Caenorhabditis elegans: one gene and its partner. The protein of the gene in region 1 purifies or fractionates together with the protein of each later gene. This does not show direct contact. Each region holds a gene or a part of one and is shown on either strand. Other genes may lie near its edges.

Evidence for each region.
Region 2: the proteins of fbf-1 (region 1) and ccf-1 purify together in Caenorhabditis elegans (affinity purification with western blotting, with the first as the bait; one study listed by BioGRID). This does not show direct contact.

What each region holds. Positions count from the first base shown.
Region 1 is NC_003280.10:6,077,707-6,082,822, reverse strand, and holds fbf-1 (Fem-3 mRNA-binding factor 1), read left to right. Parts: upstream 1-1,979; 5' UTR 1,980-2,102; coding exon 2,103-2,144; intron 2,145-2,190; coding exon 2,191-2,424; intron 2,425-2,472; coding exon 2,473-2,642; intron 2,643-2,694; coding exon 2,695-2,947; intron 2,948-2,990; coding exon 2,991-3,604; intron 3,605-3,652; coding exon 3,653-3,781; intron 3,782-3,826; coding exon 3,827-4,030; intron 4,031-4,074; coding exon 4,075-4,273; 3' UTR 4,274-4,560; downstream 4,561-5,116. Other genes in the region: H12I13.6 (uncharacterized protein), read right to left, coding at 4,588-4,739, 4,813-4,888. UniProt on the Caenorhabditis elegans protein: RNA-binding protein that binds to the consensus sequence 5'-UGUGCCAUA-3' in mRNA 3'-UTRs. Involved in the control of stem cells and sex determination in the C.elegans hermaphrodite germline.
Region 2 is NC_003281.10:11,918,328-11,922,160, reverse strand, and holds ccf-1 (CCR4-NOT transcription complex subunit 7), read left to right. Parts: upstream 1-1,923; 5' UTR 1,924-1,940; coding exon 1,941-2,069; intron 2,070-2,116; coding exon 2,117-2,401; intron 2,402-2,453; coding exon 2,454-2,972; 3' UTR 2,973-3,333; downstream 3,334-3,833. Other genes in the region: Y56A3A.22 (DUF1279 domain-containing protein), read right to left, coding at 1-464; trap-4 (Translocon-associated protein subunit delta), read right to left, coding at 755-859, 912-1,240, 1,375-1,420; znf-593 (Zinc finger protein 593 homolog), read left to right, coding at 3,448-3,573. UniProt on the Caenorhabditis elegans protein: Catalytic component of the CCR4-NOT complex which is one of the major cellular mRNA deadenylases and is linked to various cellular processes including bulk mRNA degradation, miRNA-mediated repression, translational repression during translational initiation and general transcription regulation.

The DNA of each region.
Region 1 (5,116 bases):
AAACAACTTACGTTGAGAGTTTAAATATATAAAAACCAGCCGTTCGCACGCGCTGAAGCGCGTGCTCCGACTGGCGTACTCAAAATTAAAATCAAATTCTGAAATTTCTGAGCCTTTCTTTGCAGATGAAACGTTTTTCCCTGTTTTCCGGAAGTTCTCGAGCAACATAAATATCTACAAACTATGGAACAAACGGCCTTCATTCCGAGATGACAAACTTTTTGGTGGCAAAGGTTCTTTGGGGGCATAGTATCCAAGGAGACAAAGTATCCAGTAGACAAACTGGGGTGTATCTTGGGGGGCATATCTTTGGTGACAACCTTTTTTTCAACTAGATTTTTATATGTATTTTTCAACTAATTTTTGTTCACATTTTTCTGGAATAAGTTTTTTAATGCAATTTTCAATCGATTATCGGTTATAATTCCCTCACAATTAAATGTATGAACGATGGTCTTTTGGGAAAAGCTGTAAAAGGTCCAACTAACTTGGAATATCGTGAGGCTCTTCCTGATGGTCTGATCCTTCAGCTCCGAGGGATCACATAGGTACCTTCTGATGTTCTGATCCTTCAGAAAAGAAGGATCGTAAGGGTACCTCCTGATGGTCTGATCCTTCAGCTCCAAAGGATCACGAGGCTCTTCCTGATGTTCTGATCCTTCAGCTCCGAAGGATCACATGGGTACCTTCTGATGTTCTGATCCTTCAGATAAGAAGGATCGTAAGGGTACCTCCTGATGGTCTGATCCTTCAGCTCCAAAGGATCACGAGGCTCTTCCTGATGTTCTGATCCTTCAGCTCCGAAGGATCCGACGTCATCATCTCGAAGAATCTTACGATATTCCAAGTTAGTTGGACGTTTTACAGCATTTTCCCAAAAGATCATTGTTCATGCATTCAATTGTGAGTAGTCAAGGCCGAAAATCCATGGAAAATTGCATTTAAAAACTTATTCCAGTAAAATATGAACAAAAAATGGTCAAGAAATATATATAAAAAAACTAGTTGAAAAAGTTTGTCACCGAAGATACGCCCGGTCAGAGACAAATGGCACTTTGTCGACTGGATACCATGTCACTTTGGATACTTTGTCCCCAAAAATACCTTGCCACCCTAAAAGTTTGTCCCCTCGGAATGAGGGCCAGTTACCAGTGGCCATAATCGTGTGATTATTATTTGGGATGTTCGAAGTGTTTGCTCCGCCCTTTCTGGATCACAATAGACAATTGCTTCTTCTACTTCTTGAATGTCTCATAATTCTTCTTATTTTTATCTAATTTATTGCTTCTCCTTTCTATTTTGTATATTAACTCCCAAAAACGCCCATTCTTCCCCAAAACCATCTAAAACTTACCAATATTTCCCGATACCCCTGACAGGTTATCCTGAATAATGATTGTGATTCTCAAATTTCTTCTAATCCCGTTAATTCCCCAAATATTCGAATGTAACTTTTTTTGGAATTTTTTTGTTTTCTAGTTTATAAATAAACAATATGTTTGAAAAACAATCGTAATTTGCGTTTTAGATGGTTAAACGGTAGGAAGCTTAAGCTTCCTACAACATCCAAATACAATGCAATATTTTCTGAAATTCTAAATATCAAAACATCATCCGGAATATGGAGATTTAATGCAACTCTATAGAGGTTTATGGGGACTTAGTCTTCTGGAAATTGAATTATGTGATTATGAATTAATTTTAAAAAAACCAATCCCAATCATACGATCGTCGACGACGATCGTCCCTCGCGTCTCGCGAGAGCCAACTGGTTATAGCTTTTCGGGAGGTTTAAATGTTTTATCAATTTTATACGGTACGGTCTGGAATATTCCACAATTTTTTATCTGTTTTAACAGAGAATATCTCTCCATGGAGATGCTAAAATTTTGAGAGATAAATAAGCAAATCGCATTGTTTGAAAATTTCAATTTGGATACGGTAGACAATGACAAAGTACGCAAACACCAGAGTATGTGACACACTTTCGTCATTCTCAAATTCAATTTGAAATATTATTTTCTTATTCCTATTCTCTATTTTCTGTGAATTGATAGTTTTTCTATAAGTAACCATTCGAATAAAATTATCAACTAATCGACATGGACCAATCAAAAATGCGCTATACAAATCAGTTCAGAAAAGTTGGTTTTCAGCCATTAATATTGATAAATGGCCTAAATTTTACAGACTCCGCAAAAGCCCACATCTACAGAGGTTGGAAATCATCATACTCCCGCACATTCGCCGATGGCGCAGCATGAGACATCAATGTGGAACTTCAACTCTCTCAACCCGTATTTCTCAATGCTCAATATGAACGATGGGATGAATTATGCTCGCCATCAACAGAATCACATTGTTACATCGCGGCCACCAACCCCGCTAACTGATTTGATGAGCCTCCGGAGTTTTCAGAGCTTTGTAAGTTAGAGTAGCTAATTTTTGGTTGTTTTCATTACTGATTTGCAGCCCAATGTGTTCATGCCGGTCTCGCGTAGCCGAACTTCATCATTCATTCAGTCTGATACGGATTCCTCGCGTCTCGAGCCGGACGATTTTTCACAAAATGTCCGATATTGCTCTACCGAGATTGATCGTAACAATAGTTCTTCGAAAAATGACCATTTGAAATATTCGAGGTTCGAATTAATTTATCACTATCCTCAAGTGTTTATTCTGTTTTATTTATAGACCCGCTCTATCGAGGAACTCTAGATCATTCACAAGATCAAACAATGTGCTGCCAACCTGGTCCTTGGATTCCAATGGTGAAATGCGTTCAAGATTGTCGCTCTCTGAAGTTTTGGATAGTGGCGATTTGATGAAGTTTGCCGTTGACAAAACTGGGTGCCAGTTCCTCGAAAAGGCCGTGAAGGGCAGCCTGACATCTTATCAGAAGTTCCAATTGTTTGAACAAGTTATTGGGAGAAAAGATGATTTCCTTGTAAGTTTTAGTTTCTGCGAGCACACACGACTTTTCTTTTCAGAAATTGAGCACGAACATCTTTGGAAATTATTTCGTACAAGAAATCATTGGAATGTCATTGACAACTTATGATGACGACAACATAAAGCGACAAGAAAAGTTGAAGAACTTCATCAGTTCCCAAATGACAGATATGTGCTTGGACAAATTTGCGTGTCGTGTTATCCAATCCAGTCTCCAGAACATGGATTTATCCCTTGCGTGTAAACTTGTTCAAGCTCTACCTCGTGATGCTCGTCTTATCGCAATCTGTGTTGATCAAAATGCCAATCACGTCATTCAGAAAGTCGTAGCTGTCATCCCACTGAAGAATTGGGAGTTTATCGTGGATTTTGTTGCAACCCCAGAGCACCTCCGTCAGATTTGTTTTGATAAGTATGGGTGCCGTGTTGTGCAAACTATAATCGAAAAACTCACTGCTGATTCAATAAACGTTGATTTAACTTCCGCTGCTCAACATCTTCGTGAACGAGCACTCCAACGCCTCATGACTTCTGTGACTAATCGGTGCCAAGAATTAGCTACGAACGAGTATGCCAATTACATAATACAGCATATTGTATCCAATGATGATCTGGCCGTATATCGGGAATGTATCATAGAGAAATGCCTCATGTGAGTGTTGTTTAATATATATTTGATTTTTAATCATTAATATTTCAGGCGCAATCTTCTTTCGTTATCCCAGGAAAAGTTTGCGTCTCATGTTGTAGAGAAAGCATTCCTACATGCACCAATGGAACTTCTTGCTGAAATGATGGACGAGATTTTCGACGGATACATGCCACACCCGTAAAAATTTCGTTTCAGTCACATAAAAATTAAATTGTTTTTCAGGGGCACTGGAAAAGATGCTCTCGATATCATGATGTTCCATCAATTCGGAAACTACGTCGTTCAATGCATGCTGACTATTTGCTGTGATGCTGTGTCTGGAAGACGACAAACGAAAGAAGGGAGCTATGACCATGCAAACTCATTCCAAGTTTGGCTCAAAAAGTTGCACTCGAGAGTTACGAAAGAAAGGCATCGCTTGTCAAGGTTATCACTATTGTCACAATAATATTTTGAAATTCGAATTTCAGGTTCTCATCCGGCAAAAAGATGATCGAGACGCTTGCCCATCTCCGTTCAACTCATCCGATTTATGGACTCCAATCTTCGGGACATGAATCATTCAAGACGGATTGCTTCAGTACTGCTTCCGAACACGATGGTCTAGAGTTGGAGAAGAATGGAATCGAGGAAGGTAACCTGAGGCTCATGCGAACTTTCTCACCATAAATCTCATCCCACCCACTTATGTTCTGTTGTTTTGTAATATTTTAAACTGTTGCAATGGTTTCGTTTCGATTTTAAGATCGATGTTGTGCCATCCCCACCCTTATCATTGCCCAGTTTTGTTTTTTCTTTTCTTTTTTGTTGTTTTATTGCTTTTCATGCAGTTGTGTTATTGTTTCTTTCTGTTTATTGTTCATTGTTTTGTTTTTTTTTTTCGAATTTAATGAATCCAGATAAATTTGGACACGAAAACTCTAAAAATTAAATAAAATTATTTCAACACTAAAATAATTCATTACGCAAAAACAACAAACAAATTATTCGAAGATTTCCTCTCGTTGACGCCAGGTAGAGTTGGCGTCGTCGTTCTCCATGTAAACCATTGATGTTGGAATTGTGGGGCGAGCCTCCACGCCTGGCGGTGGTCTTCTCGGTGCGAACATCATCGACCCACCAATCTCCTCTTCGACTGAAAACACAGAGTATTTAAAATAAAATGAGAATGAAAGGTAAGTTCCTCCCAATTACTTCAGTAAACTCGCCTTTTTTAGCCTTAAATTTTCCGCAGTTCACCAATACGGCAGCAGTGAGAATAACAGAACAGACGAGAAACAGCATCTGTAAATAAATTTGATTTCAATCTCTACTCTTCAGCACTTATACTATAAGTGTTGTACTTCTATGAGTTTCATTGGATAAGTGTCTATTCGGAATAGTCTCGCTGCACTTTATTCTCTACAGTAATCTTACATTAGAGTATACGCGAGAAATGGAGAGTGCTGCGAGAACTAGAATGAATATGCCTCCCTTGAAACGTATAGAAAGATTGGAAAAAGAGGAATTGGA
Region 2 (3,833 bases), on another chromosome or scaffold:
TTGTACAAAATCAGCGAAACCACCACAACTCCGGCGGTTTCGGGCGTATTTTTGACCTTTTCAACGATAGCATCCGGCATATGAAGCCATTCGAGCAATGAAATCACATCAACTCCACTTTTAACCACCAAATACAATGCGATAAACCATGCTGTACACGATGCCGCGTGAGCCGGCACAGCGATATACCAATATCTTTTAAAATAATATTTCACTTTTGCGAACAACGTTTTCGGCGCTTCTTCCGCCTTCATTTGCTCGATTTTCGCCGTTTTTGCGAGTTTTTGCTCCTCAGACATTGTCATTCTGAACATTTTCCATTTTTGATCGTCTGGCTTCTTCGGAGTGGGCTCTTTCTCGTGGAGTTGTCGACTTGTGTGCAGGAATCGTGAGCTTGATGGGGTCTGGAATTGAGCACAACAGATGCTCCGCGAGCATCGGATTATGGATCGAGCCAAAAGCATTTTGCCTGAATGAAAATTTTGGCCTAAAGGGGGTCTTAAAATTATCTAAAGTAAGTTTCCCGGGGATTTACACTCTCAACTCTTTAAACTTTTTTTTACGTCAGTCTAGCAATTAAATTTCAATTTATGGCTATTTGGGGGCTACTGAACTTATAAATACACGAATGGGGTGGAAAAAGGGGCAAAAATCAATAAATTACATTTTGTATATATAAATAAAAACAAAAAGAACAAAAACCCAGCACGCAAACGTGCGTTGACCAGTAATTTGGGGATAAAAACAATGATATTTAGTGGACAAGTTCGGTCTTTTGACGAATGGCGTAGTAAAGGCCAATGACGACGATGATGACGGCGACAGTCTCGGAAGAGATTGGAGACTTCGTGGCGAGACCCTGCAAAAAATGATTTTTAAAGATAATTATGTGAAAATGATGCAATTCTCACCCCATGGCTTTGTTGAACGGTGAAGAGTGGCTTGGTGACAGGGTTCTTGGCGTATTGAGCGGCTCCCTCCTCGTCGAAAATGTTAATATTAAAGGTTTGAGCTCCGGCGTCCTTGTGCTCAAGAGTCCATGAGACTTGGAACTTGGCGGTCTCGTCGGAAATCGAGACTGGGATAAGGCGACCGTTTACTTCAGCAGTGTATTGGATATTCTTCGGGTTGTTGCTGCATTGAAGTGTGAACTCGGTGATGAAGGTGGTTTTGTAGTGGAAGAATCCGTCGGTAGTGGAGAATGACGAGGCCGAGTACTTTGGCGACTCGCACTTGGCGCCTGGAATATTTATTGTTTTATTTGTATTAAATGTTAACAATCTACGCTTAAAATTCGAAAAATCGAGCCTTATTTTTATACAAGCCACACATTTGAATAATTTGTGTGGGAATTTATTAATTTTTCCAACTTACAAAGAGCGGAAGCGACAAGGCAAAGGGCGACGGCGATCTTCAGCATTATTACCTGCAAAAAAGTAATTAAATTCGTGTTTTGAAGAATTATCTTGTAAAATGAGTAAAATAGGCATTCTATACGTATTTTACTCGAATTTGCATCATTTTAACGCACAAAATTCATGTTTTTAGGGTAAAAATCAAGAAAATAAGTGAAAAATTCATTAAAAACACATTTTAATTCACTAAAACGATGTTTTCTCGACAGTTTCACGTAAAACAAACTCACTTGGCAGCTAGCCAGTTTGCAGTTCTCTCCCGTTCGCTGCGAGACCCACACCGCTGGGAAACTCCATGCGCCTTTAATGCCGATCCAAAATCGATCGTTCAAGAACTTCTTTTGCGCTTCAAAACTTTTGCAAACTGACTTTTTCTCCCGTTTTTCTGCTTTAAAAGTTTGCGGAAAAATTATTTTATTTATTTTATAAGCTATTTTCGATTTCTGTCCCATAAATTCGTTTAAAAAAATCGAAAATAAAAGCGTTCACTCTAAAACGAAAATTCTAGTTCCAGATATCATAAAAATGGCTTCTAGTAGCAGTGGTGGAGCAGGTGGAGCAGGTGGAGCAAGTGGAGCACCAGAAGTCAAGATTCACAACGTATATATGTCAAACGTGGAGGAGGAATTCGCGAGGATTCGAGGATTCGTCGAGGTACAGCCGATCGTTTGAATATTTTTAAAAAATCGGTTTTTTTTCAGGATTATCCCTACGTGGCAATGGACACAGAATTTCCCGGAGTTGTGGCGACACCGTTGGGCACATTTCGAAGCAAGGAAGATTTCAATTATCAGCAAGTGTTCTGTAATGTGAATATGCTGAAATTAATACAAGTGGGCTTTGCAATGGTCAATGACAAAGGAGAGCTACCACCGACTGGCGATGTTTGGCAGTTCAATTTCAATTTCTCCTTCGCTGAAGACATGTTCTCGCATGAGAGTGTCGAAATGCTCCGGCAAGCCGGAATAGACTTCACATTGCTGCAGGTTTTTTTAATATTGATTTTCCAATATTTTAATAATAATTTCTTTCTTCCAGAACAATGGAATACCGACAGCAGTATTCGGAGAACTTTTGACGACGTCAGGCCTCATCACTGATCCACGGATCACATGGCTCACGTTCTCTTCCGGCTACGACTTTGGATATTTGTTGAAAAGCATCACACTTGGAGATCTGCCTAAGGAAGAGTCAACGTTCTTCATGTGCCACAAAACTCTCTTCCCAACCAGCTTCGACATCAAAATCCTGCTCCGAACTCCAAATTGCGCGTCTGCAAAGCTGAAAGGAGGACTTCAAGAGGTCGCCGATCAGCTGGACGTGAAACGACAAGGAGTTCGCCATCAAGCTGGATCCGACGCACTGCTGACCGCCGCCACGTTTTTCAAGATCAAAAAGCAGTTTTTCGGAGACAACTGGAACCAGATTGCTCCATTGATCTGTGGACATATGTTTGGTCTTGGATCTTCGCTTTCGCTGTTCCATAGCTCCGGATCAACTTCTCGACTAGGCGATGAGACACCACAAGGCCTAATCGGAGTTCCACAACAAGCCTGAACAGATCTCTTTCCCGTCATTTTTCATGTGTCTATTTCTTTTATTTTTTTCTTCCTTTTTCCACCAAAAACCGTCTACACTGTTATTGTAAATTAGCTGTCTGTTTCGTGCCCTTCCCCATCTCTCACCCAAGTTTTTTGTGTTTTCACGCGCCCTATAATTTGTCTTTGTTATTATATCTCCCTATACTTGATGACTATACGCTTAGTTGTTTATAGGTGATCATTACTCTGAAAGTTCGATCTTTTTTATTTGTAATTTTCAGCAGCAGTAGAAGCTGGGCGAGATCGGGCGCCCCGTGTATCTTTTTATTTTCATTTTCCCTCCCCTATGCCCAAAAAAATAAAAATTTTCGAAATCTACTCGCGGAAACTTTAAATTTTCAACTAAAATAAGGGTTTTTGAGCCTGAAATTATCTTTTTCAGCTGTTTTGTCTAGATTCAAAGCTTAACAAAAGTAGTATTTCAGCAAAAAATGCCGAGCGGTGGACAGAGGAAGCACACGATTTCGAACAAGACACGTAAACGTCCCGGAAAGGATTTGGATCAAATCCATGAGGATTTGAAGCCTGAAAAGGCCGCCAAGCTTCTCCAGCAAGAGGTTTTTCAGATTTATTACTCGAAATAAACCCTTAGAATTCGCAACACTGCCGCACGGTTGTATTTTAACTGCTTTTCTACAATTTCGCGTTAATTTTATCAGGAAATCTGGCAAATAATCAAATTTTGCTGGAAAAAATGCTAAAAACTCGTAAAATAAAACTGTGCGGTGAAGTTGCAAAACTGCGTGCCGCGGCATTGCGGTGTGTCTCCGCCCTCTAACAAAGTTTCGTTTTTATTCATTTTATTCTCTTTTTTCGA